Macaca mulatta: one gene and its partners. The protein of the gene in region 3 purifies or fractionates together with the protein of the main gene of each other region. This does not show direct contact. Links are inferred from orthologs where the notes say so. Each region holds a gene or a part of one and is shown on either strand. Other genes may lie near its edges.

What was found. The genes of interacting proteins can lie anywhere in the genome.
Region 1: the proteins of SAAL1 (region 3) and SLC27A2 purify together in Homo sapiens (co-immunoprecipitation; 3 studies listed by BioGRID and IntAct, with this or other methods). This does not show direct contact. The link is inferred for Macaca mulatta from reciprocal best matches to the Homo sapiens genes SAAL1 and SLC27A2.
Region 2: the proteins of SAAL1 (region 3) and TMEM43 purify together in Homo sapiens (affinity purification with mass spectrometry; 3 studies listed by BioGRID and IntAct, with this or other methods). This does not show direct contact. The link is inferred for Macaca mulatta from reciprocal best matches to the Homo sapiens genes SAAL1 and TMEM43.

Annotation. Positions count from the first base shown.
Region 1 is NC_133412.1:27,532,487-27,538,701, reverse strand, and holds part of SLC27A2 (long-chain fatty acid transport protein 2), read right to left. Parts: intron 5,255-6,215; coding exon 5,096-5,254; intron 2,179-5,095; coding exon 2,054-2,178; intron 1-2,053. UniProt on the Homo sapiens protein: Mediates the import of long-chain fatty acids (LCFA) into the cell by facilitating their transport across cell membranes, playing an important role in hepatic fatty acid uptake.
Region 2 is NC_133407.1:152,939,886-152,946,100, reverse strand, and holds part of TMEM43 (transmembrane protein 43), read right to left. Parts: intron 3,890-6,215; coding exon 3,716-3,889; coding exon of another isoform or gene 3,693-3,715; intron 1,526-3,692; coding exon 1,286-1,525; 3' UTR 1-1,285. UniProt on the Homo sapiens protein: May have an important role in maintaining nuclear envelope structure by organizing protein complexes at the inner nuclear membrane. Required for retaining emerin at the inner nuclear membrane.
Region 3 is NC_133419.1:47,373,885-47,379,602, forward strand, and holds the end of SAAL1 (protein SAAL1), read left to right. Parts: intron 1-711; coding exon 712-908; intron 909-3,019; coding exon 3,020-3,112; intron 3,113-4,033; coding exon 4,034-4,126; 3' UTR 4,127-4,182; downstream 4,183-5,718. UniProt on the Homo sapiens protein: Plays a role in promoting the proliferation of synovial fibroblasts in response to pro-inflammatory stimuli.

The DNA.
Region 1 (6,215 bases), on a different chromosome or scaffold from region 3:
CAGGGGTGGGGAAGCACTGGCAAATAGGAAGTCCAGGGGTCATTCAAGATTATGCATTAAATCATAGTATATTTTGAAGTCATAAAACCCCAATCAAATTGTCTTTGTTTTCCAGTATTCGAGACAACAGTAAGAGAAAAACTGGGAGAGTGCATGCATGTGTGTGTGTATGTGTGCATGTGTGTATGTGGATATGTGTAAGCCTTAAGACAGCTACACACAAACATACTTATTTTCCTCCAGTTGAAAGGAAGCTCCCGTTAGAATGTATAGAAACAACACACACTCCCCAGGAGATTTCTAACTGACAAGGGAGTGTCTTTAAGGTAGAGAAGAAAAGCCCAGCAGAAGGGCCCCATATGGATTTCTGGATGTTAATGGAGAGACATGCTATCTTGAGGGCCACGTGGAATATTAATGAGAAAAAAATTCAATAATGACATTAACAGAAACTGCTGCGGAAAACGCCCTAACCCAACTCACTGCTAATGATGATCCTCAAGAATCTATTGAATATGCCAAAAAATCAGAATAATATGTGCTAAGCCCAAACATTTTGGGGGAAACATTTTAGCTCCCTCAACTCAACTATATGTTTTTCAGGGTCAAGGATTTAAGAGGTTCGGTCCGCAAAATCTGTTGATGCCTATGATGTGTCATTTACAGATCTCGGTGCTGTGGATCTGGTAGTGGACAGAGCCCCTGCTCATATGCAACTTTCATTTAATTGGGCGGGGGGGCCAGACAATAATCGCATAAACCTTTAGTATGTCAGGAGTGACAGGTGCCATGAAATGCAGTGACAAGCTGGACAGTGAGGGGCAGGTGATATGTTTGATTATTAGCAGGAGAGGCCTCTCTCCTAATGAGGTAACATCTGGGCAGATACTGAGTAAAGCGAGGTGAGAGAGACCTGGGGGAAGAGCATCCGACACTTCTTTCTGCGTCACATAGCGGCTGGTATGTAAGGTGAGCACGACAGGTGTTTATCAATAGCAATTTATCAACTTAGTGATCCTTTGAGGTTAAGTTGACTGAGTAGATTAAAGGAACTAGAATCTGGTGAAACGGATTAGAATCTGGCAAGTTTACTGCATTGTCTTGCCCAGTGGTTCTCAACTAGGGTAGCATTTGCCTGCCAAGGGATATTTGGCAGTATCTGGAGACATTTTGATGATCACAACCTGGGCAGGTGGGGAGGTTACTACTGGCATCTCGTGGGCAAAGTTCAAAGGGTGCTAAACACTCTACAATGCACGGAATAAGTCCATGCAGCAAAGAATTAAAAGCCCAAAGTGTCAGCAGTGCCACTGTTGATAAATCCTATCTGATACCAGATCTGTGATGAGAGTTGAGGGACTGGGCAGGAGGAGCTCTTGAGAACAACCCCATCGAGAGCTGAACATCTGCAAACCAGGCAGATCCAAGGCCGTTGGAGATGCCCTGGGGCCTCTGTTCCCAGCTTGGTGACAGACTTGGCTGGTTGGTTTCAAAGTCACGCAGGGATTTATTTATTAAACAATATTAAGTAAAAGTTTCCTGTATGGTTTTGGTATAACAGAAAACAAGGAGACAAGATGTGGTTCCAGCTATCAAAGATATTATAGCCAAGGAAGGATGGGAGGCATGAACGCAAACTCCTGCAATGTGACAAGGGCCACAGAGGGTAGAAATAAAATGACGTAGGGGAGAAGAGTAATGACTTTTGTTGGAGTGACCCAAATAGGTTTAATGTATGAGGTATCATTTGAACTGGGCTTTGACAATGGCTTTTAGTAAGCAGAGAGGGAAATGCATGATATGCTAGGTGGGGGGTAAGATGTGAAAACAAGTAAAAAGTCAGGAAATAATAATCATCATCATGATAATATGAACTCCCACCTAATAAGTCCCCTCTATATGGTAGGTATAGTGCCAAGTACTTTATCCTGATAATTGTATACTAAACTCAAAACTGATATATGCAAATCAGCTAAAGCCTAGCACAACCCAAAGTGACTTGAATTTCCATCTTACCCATTTCAAAATGATAGTACAACCAGGGTAGTGTTACCTGTGGTGTGTTGCATAAATACCGAAGCAGTTCACCGATATACTGAATGACAGTGACGTTGTATTTTCTGCAGTCATCCCAAAACTGGCTGGCTGAAAATTTAGTCCGCAAGGCAAGAGTAGCACCTACAGAGAAAGCATAGAAAGTGTCAAGAAAGAGGCCGGGCGTGGTGGCTCAAGCCTGTAATCCCAGCACTTTGGGAGGCCGAGGCGGGCGGATCACAAGGTCAGGAGATCGAGACCATCCTGGCTAACACGGTGAAACCCCTCTCTTCTAAAAATACAAAAAAATTAGCCAAGCATGGTGGCGGGCGCCTGTAATCCCAGCTACTCGGGAGGCTGAGGCAGGAGAATGGTGTGAACCCGGGGGGCGGAGCTTGCAGTGAGCCGAGATTGTGCCACCGCACTCCAGCCTGGGGCACAGAGCAAGACTCCGTCTCAAAAAAAAACAAACAAACAAAACGAAAGTGTGAAGAAAGAAATGGTAGAAAAAATTCTCCCAATTATATTTAATTTGTGAACTTTGAAAGACAGAAATTTAAAAGTAAATTATATTTGCAAACAAGTATTGAGTACCTTATATTCAATGCAAAAAATTAGTAAGACATGGTTTTGTTTGATAGGGGCTTCCAATCTATGGAGGAGAAGACTTATACAAAGGTCATTTTAATAAAAGTCAGCTTGCAGTAAGAGATTCAAATGAGGTCCTAAGAGGGAGGGAGGGGAGAGGGGAGAGATTTCATGCAAAACATATATATATATATATATAAATAAATATAAATATTTCATGCTATATAAATATATATAGAGAGTGAGACTGTCTCAAAAATACACATATACACACACATACGTGTGTGTGTGTGTGTGTGTGTGTGTGTGTATTTGAGACAGAGTCTCGTTCTATTTTTTTTTTTCTTTTTTTGAGACTGAGTCTCGCTCTGTCACCCAGGCTGGAGTGCAGTGGTGCCATCTTGACTCACTGCAACATCCGCCTCCTGGGTTCAAGTGATTCTCTTGCCTCAGCCTCCTGAGTAGGTGAGATTACAGCTGTGTGCCACCACGCCTGGCAAATTTTTTGTATTTTTAGTAGAGATGGGGTTTCCCTGTGTTAGCCAGATGGTCTCAATCTCCTGACCTTGTGATCTGTCCCCCTCGGCCTCCCAAAGTGCTGGGATTACAGGCGTGAGCCACTGCACCTGGCCCGAGTCTCGCTCTGTTGCCCCGGCTGGAGTGCAGTGGTGCAATCTTGGCTCACTGCAACCTCCGCCTTGTGGGTTCTTGTGCCTCAGTCTCTAAGTAGCTGGGATTATAGGCGGGCACCATCATGCCTGGCTAATTTTTGTATTTTTTAAGAAGTGATGGGGTTTTGCCATGTTGACCAGGCTGGTCTCAAACTCCTGACCTCAAGTGATTCGCCTGCCTCAACCTCCCAAAGTGCTGGGATTACGGGCAGGAGCCACTGTGCCTGGCTCGTTCATGCAATATTTTAAATAATTTTGTGCATAAAATAAAGTTTGTGTTAAGTACTTATCTGTAGTATTTTCCACTTGTGGTGTCCTGGTGCTCAAAAAGTTTCAGATTTTGGAGCATTTTGGATTTCAAATTTTTGGAGTGTGTGTGTGTGTGTGTGTGTGTGTGTGTGTGTGTTTGAGCTGCTATAACAATATAGTACAGACTGGGTGGCTTAAACAACATATATCTCTTGCAGTTCTGGAGGCTGGGAAGTCCCTATCAAGGTGTTGGCAGATCGGGTGTCTGGTGAGGGCATTTTTCCTGGTTTGGGGACGGTCATCATCTCCCTGTGTCCTTACATGGAGGAGAACGGAGTCAGGAAAGAAGCTCTCTCCTGTCTCTTCTGATAAGGGCACTACCTTTCATGAAGGTGCTTCTCTCATGACCCAATTACCTCCCAAAGACCCTACCAGCTAATACCATCACATTGGGGGTTAGGATTTCAACACATACACTTTTGGGGGACACAAATATCCATCCATGACATGCATGCATATACACACACATATATGTGTGTGTATATACATATGTGTATATATTTTTATATATACATATATGATTATTTAAAATGAAATGCCACATGGGAGAAAAGGTTGCTTTTTAGTTCAGTCAGAAAGTTACAGATAGCTTCCTGGAAGAGGTGGCTATTGAACTTTGCAGTAATGTATACAAGTGACATAAATCCTCCTGGAAGGAGAGAGGATGGCAACTCCAATTTGAATAGTAAAGTCTGAGAAGGAAAGAGAAGAGATGGCAAGCCAAGCCAAGTATTCTGATGGAGTTGCCATCTTCTCTCCTTCTAGTAGAGCTGAAAAGCTGTGGAAACAGGGGAGGCTGCAGAAGAGTGCACACAACTGAAGAAGTTTAAATCAGATGCTGATGGAGATCAACATGTAAGTTTCTAAAGATGGAAATGACATGACATAGAATCTAAGATTCAAGTGTCATAACCTAGATACAGATAATTTTTTATTTTAATTTTTATTTTATTTTTCACAGTTGAGGTCTCACTCTGTCAACCAGCTTGGAGTGCAGTGGTGCAATCACAGCTCACTGCAATCTTGAACTCTTGGACTCAAGCAATTCTCTTACTTCAGCCTCCTGGGTAGCTGGGACTACAGACTTGAGCCACCATGCCTGGCTATTTTTTTTTTTTTTTTTTGTAGAGATGAGGTTTGCTCTGTTGCCCAGGCTGGTCTTGAACTCCTGGCCTCAAGCAATCCTCCTGCCTTGGTCTCCCAAAGTGCTGGGAATACAGGTGTGAACCATTGCACCCAGCTCTAAAATATTTTAAAGGAGTTTCTCTCTTGATATACTGAACAATTATAGCATTATATTATTAGATAAGCAGGCATGAAAAAACAGATTATTTTAGATGCTTGCTTGTAATATGAGTCAAATAGCCTTATTGTTAAAGCAAAATTGAAGACTGTTCCAAGCAGACAGCAACATAGCCAAATTTTATATTACTGTTCCTTGTGAGAAAATGTAAATGTGCACTCGCCTCCAACACTTTGTAGGAAAAACTTACCAGCCACAATACATCCATGAAAGCCAATCAATAGTGCAGCACTGTGGTACAAGGGCAGAGTGATATAGATGACATCATCTGCCTTCAATCCGCTTACAAAAGTGAGGCCAGTTCCATACCATATGCGCTGATGAGTGATCATGGCCGCTTTTGGAAGACCTTTGCAAATATACAAGAGAAGGTATGAGTTAACCAAGATTGGGCATTTACAGTGTAGGAGAGAGATCTGGCTTAGGAAGATTAATCATCCTGTATTTTGAGAATTGCACTGGGAAGGGCCATGACCGGTTAGACCAGAAGTTGACAAATTTTTTCTATAAAGGACCAGAGAGTAAATGTTTTAGGCTTTGTGGGTCATACAATCTCTGTTGAAACAACTGAACTCTGCTATTGTGGTCAAAAGCAGCCATACACATACATATAAATGGAGTGTGGCTGTGTTCCAATAAAACTTTATTTATAAAAACAGGTGGGAAGCTGTATTTGGCCCACAAGCAACAGATTGCTAACTCCTGAGTTAGATGGTTAGATGGTAGTAATCTGAAGAGAAACAGAAAACAGAGGAATGAATGTCTATTGAATTTCTGCTCTGTGGCTACCATTTTGCATGAAATTTAAAAAATGTCATTTAATTTCCATAACATGTTTATGTATGACATAAACAGAATTATATTCTCCAATCCACAGATGTGAAGGCTGGGAGTCAGAGAGATTTCTTATGTACTAGAGTTATTTTATACAAACAAAGCAAATATGAACATTTCCTTATATGTTCTTGCCTTTTCCATTAAAAAATATGCACACTCAGCTGGGTGCGATGGCTCACACCTGTAATCCCAGCACTTTGGGAGGCCAAGGTGGATGGATCACAAGGTCAGGAGATCGAGACCATCCTGGCTAACATGGTGAAATCCCGTCTCTACTAAAAATACAAAAAATTAGCCAGGCGTAGATGTGGGCACCTGTAGTCCCAGCTACTTGGGAGGTTGAGGCGGGAGAATGGCGTGAACCTGGGAGGCGGAGGTTGCAGTGAGCTGAGATAGCGCCACTGCACTCCAGCCTGGGCGACAGAGTCAGACTCTGTCTCAAAAAAAAAAAAAAAAAAAAAAAAAAGCACACT
Region 2 (6,215 bases), on a different chromosome or scaffold from region 3:
GAGGACTAAAGCTATGGACACAACACATGAAAGGACTACTCAGAAGCAGCCATAGGAGGCCCAGGTGCCCATGTCGAAAGTACTCCCGGGTGAAAGCAGCCAGGCAGGCATGGGCACTGTACAGCAAGCCTCAGGCCTCAGTTCTTGATTGTGGTTGACTGGGGGTCACCATGAAGGTGCCCATTTAGTATAAAGCTTCCAACCTTTTCTCTTAATCTTTTCTTTAATCTTTTAAACCATCTTCAAGTGCACAGGGGAGTTCCTGATGCCAGAGGATGAAAGCAGCTGCTTTCTCCACCCTCTCCTCCCAGAGTGAAAACAAATCCTTTCGCTAATACTTGTTTCAAAAGCATCCGTTGTAAAGCTTCTCAGTGACACAGAATACTGAAAGGTAATTTTTTATCAGTCAAACCACATACCCAATTTAACACCTTTCGGTGCTCTGAATTCAACTGACAGACTGAAGGGTGTTTCCTGGAACAGTCTGAAATATTAATCATTCAAGTGTTTTTTTTGTTGTTTTAAAATCTTATTTCAGAAAACTTCCTCTTAGGGTAGGAAAGTACATACAAAGCAGCAAAGTAATGAAGAAAACCTCAAATAGGACCTTCAGATATCCCACACACTACAAAGATTCTACCAAGCCATAAGATAAGTGTGAAGCCCAACGTACGTCCAGCTTTTCTCCTCACGACATCTTCAGTGTTTCTTCTCTTTTAAACACCAAACCAGGTTCCAGCCACAGACTATGTTTTGGGTGTACCTGCTTTGTGGGGTCCATGCCCAGTGTGTCTGCTGGTGACCCAGGACTCAGCAGTAATGACTAACGGCCGCCCTTCAGGATCACAGAAGTGCTTGGTGGTGGCGGCAAAGCCTGGCACTTGTGTGCAGTGATGAGAAGCAGCACACGGCAAGGCTGAGCCCTTTATCAGCAGGCCTCCTTAGAGCGTGTCTGCGTCGTCAGCTGCCAGTGGGCTGAGTGGCTGGCCATACGCACTCAGTCCAAGAGAGAGGAAGGAAACAGCAGGAGAAGCTGTCAGGTGGCCATTCATGAGCTGCTGCTGCCCACCAAAGCTGCTTACTGGCAAGAAGAGGTGTGGGGAAGACATGAGCTGGTGAACACCAACCCAGCGCACATGCTGCCAAGTCTGGCCCCTGAAGAGGAGAGAGGGTGCAGAGTCCAAAACCAACCGGAGCTCCTGCTCTGGCATGGAGCTGGGTCAGAGGTGAGGGACGACCTGGATCCTAGGGCTCACGCAGGTGTCGGGCGGGTGCCAGGGTCTTTTCACTCCAACTTTTTGGCCGACACCCGTGTCCGAGCAACAATGATGGGCACCAGCGCCAGGCCGGCAATGAGGAGGGCCCATAGGGGCCGGTAGAAGAGCCAGCCAGCCGCCACGGTCAACAGGGTCAGCGAGGTGGCCATGCAGAAGGCAAAGGCTTTCAGGCCAATGTTGACCAAGTCTCGAAAGACAGGAAACCAGTCCACTGTGGAAAGGAGAAAGGTGATGAGGTGCCACCCACTCTACACCTCACCAGCTCAGCAGATCGCTCCTGTCCCTAGGTGAGGATGGGCCCCTGTTGCTACGTGCGTGAGGAGGGGAGCGGGTCAGTGGGGTGGAAGGCAAGGAGCCTCGTTCTGAGAGCTAAGGGAGCACAGGAGTCTCTGCTATGAGCTGCGTGGCTGGGCACATTGAGCCACCCACTCTACCCTGCTCCGGGGAGAGGATGTGGCAGTGCTTTGTAAACTTTAATACTATATGTGGAGAGCAGTCTGAGGCCAGCATAAAGACATTTGCCTGTAATGCTGGAAATACCCTGGGTCCTGCACACTCATACAAGAGGCTGTGGATGGAGCCTCCTGTGCCTATTTGGGCCTCTCAGCCATTCCTAGAGGTGTTGGTTCATTCATGCAGCAGGATGTTACTGATTATTTATGTGCCCAGCACTGAACCGGCAGGTACTAGAGGAAATAAATTAGCCTAAGCATTGGCCTCTCCTCAAGGATCTCACAAACTATTGGTCCAATAGGAGAAAGCCCAGAATCCAGCTAAATTCGTAATTACCCTATTCTTGCCTTGTATGACCTCTCCAGGTTGGCATTCCATAGCTGATGTCCACTCAGGGAATCTTTGCTCAGTTCCCGGGCCACCAGTGGTCTGGAATCACTGGGTTTGCAGAGCAAGCCCTGGTGCCCACCATACCTGCAGCACACCCTGCAAGCCACCACCTGGCCTCATCCTGGTCTGTTCCCATACAGCACTGCTACTCAGCCCTTATAATAAGCAAAGTTCATGTTTCTGAATGTTGCCTATGTGTTAGACACCACGCGCACCATCTCATGAAGCGCTCATGCCCACCCCGTAAGGTAGGTACTCTTCTTAACTCCATTTTGCCCACGGGGTCACTGAGGCTCAGGGAATTAAGAAACTCACCCCAAGTCCTCCTGTTAGAAAGTGCCAGAACCAGGATTTGAACTCAAGACTGTCTGGGCCCAGAGCCTGGGCTCTGAGCCGCTGCTCTAATCCTTGTCTGTCTCTCTTGCTGTGGAGTCTTACACGTGGCGGTCAGTATTTATCAAACGCATGGGGGAGTGTGCGCTTCCCTGCTGCACTAGCGACTCACCCCACCCACCCTGGGGGTCCCTCCATGCTCTAAGTCTGTCCTGAGTCTGGCTCATTCCAGACATAGGGTGAATTGGGATCACAGACGTCAGAGATCCAAAGAAGGGCCCACTGAGACAGACACGAGGAAACCAAGGCTCCAGAAGGGAACTGGTCTGCCCAAGGTCACATAGGCAAGAAAGAGGATTCCGCTTAAATGCTGATGTCTCCCTAATGTGCCCACCATGTCACTAGTCTTTCTGAGCACAATTCAGCTGTCCAAAGAAAGGCTCAAGGAAAGAGTCCTTCCCTTCCCGAGCCTGTTTTCCCAACTATAAACAAAGGAGGTGGTCCCCCCGGCTCAGACAGCCCGAGATGTGCAGCCAGACCTCTTCTGACTTGTACATCCTGAGTGGGGAAGAGGTTTCTGTTGGCACCCAGAAAAGGCGTGACCCAAACATGTGACTGGAAGGGATACACACCAGGGAAAGGCTTGGATGGAGAGTCCTCTGAGGAACCCCATCCTCCTGGGCCCAGAACGTACTTAGTCACCCTGGGCACTCAGATCCCGAACCACACTGGGCCACAGGACTCCTACTGAGCTCGCTGGTGCCAACCTCAGGCCAAGGAGCGGCCCAGAACTCTCCTTCATGCTCCGGACTTGCTGGCTGCCCAAATCTAGCCCAGGTTTTAGAGTGAGGAAGGAAGCATGATAGTTTTGGGTGTTTCCTATTTGCCACATTCATAAAACTCTGCATGTGAGGGGTGAGGTGACTGAAGCTGAGGTGGGAAGGGAATGGCCAAGCACCCAGAGCTTGGACGTGACAGATTTCAAATGCAGGTCTGACAGGCTCCCATGTGGTATCAATTGTGGATCAAAGGAATGAGCAAATGAGCGAGCCAGGGGATGGACGAACCTTCAGGCTGTGGAGTGAGACCAGTGCCCCAGAGTCAGCCCCACCCAGCCTCACCCCTGGCAGCTCCTGCCCTCAGCCTGCCTTCCTCTGCTCCCTCATCCCAAGGCTATGGAGCGGAGATACAGAGATGAGCCAAATGCTTGGTCTCTGTGCAGGGGCCATCCCATCAGGCCGGAAGGGCTGAGATGATGCGACAGGCAGAGGCCAGTGGGGGTGCAGGAGGGAGGGCAGTGACCCACCCTGACACCTACCCAGGGTGTAGAGGATGCGTGTCATAAGGTTGAGGCCCATGAACATGGCCATCCAGCCAGCTGCCCGCAGGCCCCAGGTCTTCATGGAGTTGCTCCTTAGTTCTCTATGAAACACCTCCTGCAGGACAAGGTGGGGCAGGTCAGGATGCTGAGGGCCAGCGGTGTACCCAGTCGGCAGGGCAGGTGCTGAGGGGGCTGGACCAACTCGGGAGCTGTTGGCCATTTCCGAACAGGCCAGAGGGAGGTGGGGCAAGCCTCCTATAGGGGTAAGTCATTCTGCCCATCTGGCAGAGCACAGGGCAAGGCATGAGATCTCTGGAAGGTACTGGCCCTCCTCAGCTCAGAGGCTGCCAGCACCTGGAGCCCTCAGCCCACAGTCTCACCTGGAATGAGCAGGACCCTCCCCACCACCCCTGAGCAGGTCTGAGTGTGCCTGCTGGGCAGCATGCTCCGTGCTATGTGTGTGATCTGTTTAATCGTGGACCCTCTGCAGATGGCCTGGGACACCGCACCCGCCTTCTCAGGCTCCATCGCTGTCGCTGTCCCTCTTCCTGTCTGTTAAGACGCTGCAGTTCTTTAGCTGCTTCAGTCCATACTTTCCCCCCGAACATCCCATCTGCTTCCTTGGCCTCCATACGCTGTGACCCTCCAATTTAAAGCTGGAGCTCTGGCCCTCTCCTGGGCCTCACAAACCTGTGGCTCCCACCACCTCCTCGACATTTCCACTTGACATCTCGGCCTGTCCAGCACTGACACTGGTGCCTTCTCCATCTCAGCACATGGCACACCCACCCACCCACTCACATCTAGGGGAAAAGACATGGCCTGCTCCTCCCCCATCACCTCATCCAGTCCAGGTCACATATTCCCGAGTCTCTCGCCACCATCTGCCTGCAGGAGCCTTACTGGCCCTGCTTCTATCACCCCACTCCGTGTTCTCCACACAGCCACCTGCCAGAGCCCTGCCACATCCCCCCAACACCAACCCTGCTGCTGGTGCCCTGACCCCGCTGGCTGCTGTTCCCAGTTCAGGTCGAGCGTCCTCTCCCCTCTGTGTATCTGTGCATGGGTTTGCTCTGCCTACAGCGATTGCCTGCAGTCATGCCTGGCCAGCTTCCTACATAGTCTTCCAGCTTTGCTCGAACCCCATTTCTTCAGAGGGCTTTCCTTGACCCTCTAATCTGAATCGGGCCCTCTCTCAGAGTCCGTAACAAAAACAGGTCACACTGATCCTTATCTGATACTGTCCTAAGTGTTTTACAAGTATTATTTAATTCTCAGATTCACTCAGTGAGGTAGGAATACTTACCTCCAATTTATAGACGAGAAAACTGAGGCTCTGAGAGGGCACATAAGTCATGTGCCCAAGGTCTCACCTCAAGCAGTTAACTAAACGCTACATTTCCAAGAGCAGGGAGCATGTCTGTGAAGTACCTGGTGTTCAATGAAAACTTTCTGAATGAATGAATAATCCTCAACAACCAAACCAGTTAGGGATGATGTGACTATTACTAATAGTACTTAAACATTTTCCCCTTCACGAATGAGGAAACAGGCTGAGAGATCAGCACCAGCTCAAGGTCCTGTAGCAGGTGGGAGGCAGCGCCAGGGCCATCTGCAGTGTGCCTGCTGGGGCAGCTGTACTCTCCTGCCCCTGGGACTGGAATTGGGGCATCCTGATTTTTGCCCTGAGCTGTCTGCCTGGCTCTGGGCCTTTTCTTCCACTTGACAGAGACCCCAGACCTTGTGTGGGGGTGGGGTCCGGGCTGGGGGAAGACAGGGCTTTGGGATGCTAAGCAGCAGGAGGCCCCGGGAGTGAGGAGGCCACCTGAGCATCTGCACTGCAAGGCCTTCCTTTCTGGGGCATTACCTAAGCCATGGGCCCTATCCACTCCTCTCTGGAGGGGTGGCTCTGTGAGCTGGGCCTCAGCCCTGGGAGAGAGAGCAAGGCCTGGACTGGGCCTCCTAATTTTAGAAACTCACTGGGGACCCTCAGCTGCTGGTGAAGGGTGACTCATGGCCTTTTAGGCTGGGAGGTGGCAGCCCTACCCTGAGGCTGGTAACTGGGCTCCTGGGCAACAGCCTGACCACAACCTAGCCCTGGCCAGGTACCAGGAGTGGGTGAGGCCCAAGCACCACCGCGGGCTGGAGGTTAATGGGACAGATGGTTACTGACGATCTAATAACAGGAACAAAAAGTCACAGCTAACCCCTGATGCCTGGCTGCTGCCTTGCCCCTTTCTCGCCCTTCTGGAATGAAAACTCTGACAGTCCTGGTTAAGGCAGGTATAGAGTGCCCCACCAGGGGTTATCTGTGTTCATCAACAACAGAAAAACTAAAGACTTGATTTTTCTGCTGCAAAGAAGGATTGCCTGCCTAGAGAAGACAGGCTAACTTTTAAGACATAGAACTGAACTAATCAGCACATCTTGGCACCCCTTCT
Region 3 (5,718 bases):
AGGTAGAGTATGGAGGGCCTAATTTTGCCTTTTCCTCTAAATGAGGTAGGGAATCATGGTGAGTTTTAAGCAGAAGTTGAATACACATGAGCTGACTTTAATAGGCTGCTGTTTTGATGAGAAATGTAGGAATCTGGTACAAAAGGGAGATGAGTTAGGAGGCTTTTAGAGATTCTTGATAATTAACTCATAGCAAGAAATGTTATAATTTGGACCAAGATGTTAACAGTGGTAGTGGTAGAAAACTCTCGTGAGCTAATTTTTGTATACTTTTTGTAAAGACACGGTTTCGCCATGTTGCTCAGGCTGGTCTCGAACTCCTGGGCTCAAGCTACCCGCCCATCTTGGCCTCTCAAAGTGCTGAGATTGCAAGCATGAGCTACCACCCCTGGCCTCCTAGGCTCATTTGATTGCTGAGTCTTCATTGCTTTAGTTCTCAACTCAATGTCACCTTGTCAGAGAGCTTGCCCTGCTAGACTGCTATATTCCTCTTTTATTTCCTTCATAGAACCTAACCAAAACCTAAAATAGTCTATTATATTTACTTATTTGAAAGTATAAAAATGTAAGCCTCTTACAGGCTGACATCTTGCTGATGTTACCACTGTATCTGTAGTACCCAAAATAATAATGTCTAGCACTAATTCAATACATATGAATGAAAAACCAAACTTAACTGGCCAATTCAATGTTTCTTGATTTTTTATACAGTAGATCTTCCTCTAATTGACAGCCTCATTCGGGTCTTACAAAATATGGAACAGTGTCAGAAAAAACCAGAGAACTCGGCAGAGTCTAACACAGGAGAAACTAAAAAGACTGATTTAACCCAAGATGATTTCCACTTGAAAATCTTAAAGGATATTTTATGTGAATTTCTTTCTAATATTTTTCAGGCATTAACAAAGGTAGGAAAGAAGTATTGATGATGTCATGAACAAAAGAAAGTGTGGGTTGCTTAACTCTCCAACTTTATTACTGTTTTTTTAATATGAAAGTAATATATATTTTGGGAAAATAAAGTAAAATCTTAATATCACCATGAGTTTATAATCTTAAAAACCGCTAGCTGATGTGGTTTGGTATATTTATGTATGACAAACATATGCATATGTTTGCATGCATGTATTTTTATAAATGCATTTTTCCTATACTTTAACCCAGCATATGCAATTTTTATAGACTACTGTTTTCCCTTAACACTATATTATAAGCATTTTTCTTGATTCTAGATGAAAGACTTTTTACTGAGAGCCAGTTTAAACCTAATTTACCAAATAATCAGTTTTCAAAATTTACTGCAAACTTCTCTTAAGGAATATTCTCCCTGAATATGTTCAGTGGTTATTAACATTCCTCCTTTGACCATATTTTTTTCTATCCATATATTTGGAAAGAAATATATTATGAATATGTTATGAATATGTTGTATCATGAATATAAAATGCTACAAATATAGGTGTGAAGAATATATTTATTCATACCCACTGAATTTTTTAAAGAGTATTCCTTAAGAAGTTTCTCTTGGCCAGGCGCCCATAATCCCAGCACTTGGGAGGCTGAGGCAGGTGGATCACTTGAGCCCAGGAGTTTGAGACCAGTTTGGGCAACATGGCAAAACCTCATCTCTACAAAAAATACAAAAATTAGCCGGGTATGGTGGCACATGCCTGTGATCCCAGCTACTTGGGAGGCAGGGATGGAAGGATTGCACTCCAACCTGAGTGACAAAGTGAGACCCTATCTCAAAAAACAAAATGAAACAAAAGGTTTCTCTTATTCTGGTGATTTTTTTTTTATTAGTTGTCTTGCTTCCCTTTTCCCTATTTGTATTTTCCAGATTTGGGGTTATTACCTCAGCAGGTTTTACAGAATTTAAATTACTGGATTCAACATTATAAATGTGAAGATGGCTAAGGCATAATGGCCATATTTTGTCAAAATACTATTTACATGTGAAATGTTGGTTTTTCCTTGACCCTTATTATTGGGTATTATAATTTTTATGTCAAAGTTCAGGTAATAAATTATGTCTTATTTTGATTTGCATTTTTAAATTAATGAGATTGAAATATTTGGATGTCGTATATTTTGTTTCCTACTTTTTTATAATTTATCCATTTTGATTATAAATTTATCCATTTATAATTTATCCATTTGATTTAATTGGATAATTTTTAATTATTGGATAATTAAATAATTATTAATTGGATAATTAATTGGATAATAATTTTTAATTATCCAATTAAAATTTATCCTTTTTTATAATTTATCCATTTGTATGAATTTCTTGGGTAATAATGCATCTTTTCCATATTTATCACATGTATTTTTTCCCATTCTTTGCTGTTGCTTTTGTTTTTTGGAGCACCTACTTTTAAGTAGTAGGAACATCAAAGAAAGGTGAGCTGAGGATACACTAGGGCTATGTCATGCAAATTTTTATATGCCATGTTTAGGGGATTTGGACTTAATCTTGAAGAAACTGAGGAGCTACTAAAGATTTTTTTTCTTTTAAGCACCAAGTGATAAGATCAATTTAGAAAGATTACTCCAAAAGCAATAGAGAGGAAGGAGTAGAGAGAGTTGAGGCTGGAGGGCAGGAGATCAACTAACAGGCTCTTGCGGTTGGTAATCTTCAAGAATAATCTGAAAAAGGATGGCAGCCTAAACAATGGAAGTTTGAATGGAGAGGAGGGATGGGATAAGAGAGATTTGGTAGAATAGAATTGAGCACTTGCCGGGAGGGGTCAGCAGGAGAGGGGAGGGAAAAGTCTTCACTGTGTTCCAAGTTTGTAGTTTGTGTAGCAGGGTGGATGGTGGTGTCCTTCACTAAAATAAAGACGACAGTGGAGAACACGTTTGGGTTACATAAGCCTCCTTGATGTCGGTGGGTTCAGTTGGGACATTTGAAATGCCTATGAAGTCAGGAGGGAATTGAATATCCTAATTTGTTTTTATTCACTAGTTAAAGCTTGAAAAAATTTCCCTTTTTTGACATTAAATGTTGTTGTTTTAGGAGACGGTGGCTCAGGGAGTAAAGGAAGGCCAATTGAGCAAACAGAAGTGTTCCTCTGCATTTCAAAACCTTCTTCCTTTCTATAGCCCTGTGGTGAGTATGGGTAAATGTATAGGCGGCCAAGTTTTGTAGGATTACTAAATGTTTTCAAGTAAGCACTTGATTTCGAAGTCATTGTCAAAAATTATAGTATATACAATTTATATGACTTAATGCCTTTGTCAGATAGATGACTGCTGGAAACAGAAAACCAAATACCATATGTTCTCACTTAGAAGTGGGAGCTAAAACCATTGGATACCATGGACATAAAAATGGGAAAAGTAGACACTGGGGACTACAGGAGGAGGGGGAAAAAGAGAGGGAGGGCAAGGGCTGAAAAACTACCTATTGGGTACTAAGCTCACTGCCTGGGTGACAGGTTCATCTGTGCCTCAAACTTCAGCATCATGTGATATACCTTTGTACCAAACCTGCACATAGAAACATTTAGATCCCCCTGAGTCTACAATAAAGGTTGGGGGAAAAAAGGATGACTACTGGAAAATTTGTACTACTATTGGGAGTAACAATTCTAAGAGGAAAAATTCAGCTCTGAATCTATAGTACTCCTTTCTGTTATGAAGTAGGTAGCATCTGTATTAAACCAAAATCAGATTCTTGGGAATAGGCAGTAGGTTTTTATGGTTCTTCAAATGACATCACATTTCCTACCATTAGAATCAGATTTCACAATAAGAACTTTTTCGGGAAAATGAAGGACAGAATGTGGGAACAGACTGTAAAGAGGAGGCAGGGGGAGAAGTACTAGCTTAAGGGTAAAACGGAATGGGAAAGAATAGTCATTTCCTTGAGAATGATTTAGAAGACTGCTTAGGAAGTACTGTTACTGTCATCTGGAGATCTGCCAGCATTTCTTTTCCATTGGACCATTTAGAAACCACAGGTAGAGCAATCAGTACCTTAAACCACGTTTTTCTCTTCTGTGTTTGATTTTGTTTGTTTGACTCATAGGTGGAAGATTTTATTAAAATCCTACGTGAAGTTGATAAGGTGCTTGCTGATGACTTGGAAAAAAGCTTCCCAAGTTTGAAGGTTCAGACTTAAAACCTGAATTGGAATTACTTCTGCATAAGAAATAAACTTTATTTTTCTCACTGACAGTTGAAATTGACTTATTGGAAATATTAGCTAAAGCCCTATTAGACCGTAATTGTCTGGTGTTATGTTTTTCTGTCCTAGACTTGTCTCACTTTTTTTGACTTTGGAATCTGGAGTTTCACCCCTGTCACCCCTCTTTTTATATTATGTGATATTTATCATTCTCAGTTGAGGAAAACAAAAATGTAAGCTTATCATTGAGGTTCTTAGGATATGTGAGAGATCAGTGTCGCTTTTCTTCCTAGCTGTTAATTTGGTTTTTGTTTTGTTTTGTTTTGTTTTTTGAGATGGAGTCTCACTCTGTTGCTCAGGCTAGAGTGCAGTGGTGTGATCTCGACTCACTGCAAGCTCCACCTCCTGGGTTCACGCCATTTTCCTGCCTCAGTCTCCCGAGTAACTGGGACCACAGGTGCCCGCCACCACACCCGGCTAATTTTTTGTATTTTTAGTAGAGACGGAGTTTCACCATGTTAGCCAGGATAGTCTCTATCTCCTGACCTTGTGATCTGCCCACCTTGGCCTCCCAAAGTGCTGGGATTACAGGCATGAGCCACCGTGCCCGGCCTAATTAGATTTTTTTAAGTGAGAATTACGTCTTTGTATCAACTATAAGTATATTCAGCCGCAGTAACAGAAACCCTCCTATCGTAGCTGAATCTGATCTCTCTCAGGAACCTTATGCAAAAATCCAGACGTGATGAGGTGGCTCCTTTCACCCTTCACATGGTCTGCCAGGTGTGTTCATGTTTATTGTCTTGCGGTTAAGGGGGCTGTGCCATCTCTGGGCCTTATCCACATTCAGGAAGGAAAAGGGAGAGAAGGGGCTTTTTCCTACCAAGTCTTTACGTGTGTTTGGCTGGGTGAGGAGGTGCTTTTTAATAGATTTTAAGAAAATATCTGTTATGAATAGCAAAGCCAGCTTTCTAAACCTCACTTTTGGTATAGCCTCTTCCCAGTTTTTATCAGTTTTTTGGCTTTAAAGCATTGGTCTTGCCTCATACTTTGTTTTCTTTCCTTGAGAGGTTTTTGGTGATAAAACATAGAATAATCTTATTGGTAAGAGATAATACAATTTCTAGTTTGGAGGTAGGTTTAGGGTTGGAAGTGTCACTGCTGAAAAGAACTGGAACATAAAAGTAAATCTTAGCAGGTGAAACCTCATTGGTAGGTTTATGTATACTACACTGTATATGCATATTTGCATGTCCTCGGTGCTGACCTTATTGGTAGGCTGAATTGACTATGTTCAACATGAGATTTGAAAGACACTGATGAAATCACTCCTACCTGCTAGCTGACATGAAAATTCCACTCGGTTTTTTTTTTTTAAGTTTAAGCTTAAGATGCAAATACCGATTAAGAGTAATACTTGAGGTTATTAGTTATGTTTACCTCAGTGCATATGAATTTCACATTTTTTTCCTGAGAGCATGTTTTGTTTGTTCGTTTGTTTTAATTTTTTGTTGTTGTTGTTGAGACGGAGTCTCACTCTGTCGCCCAGGCTGGAGTGCAGTGGCGTGATCTCGGCTCACTGCAGG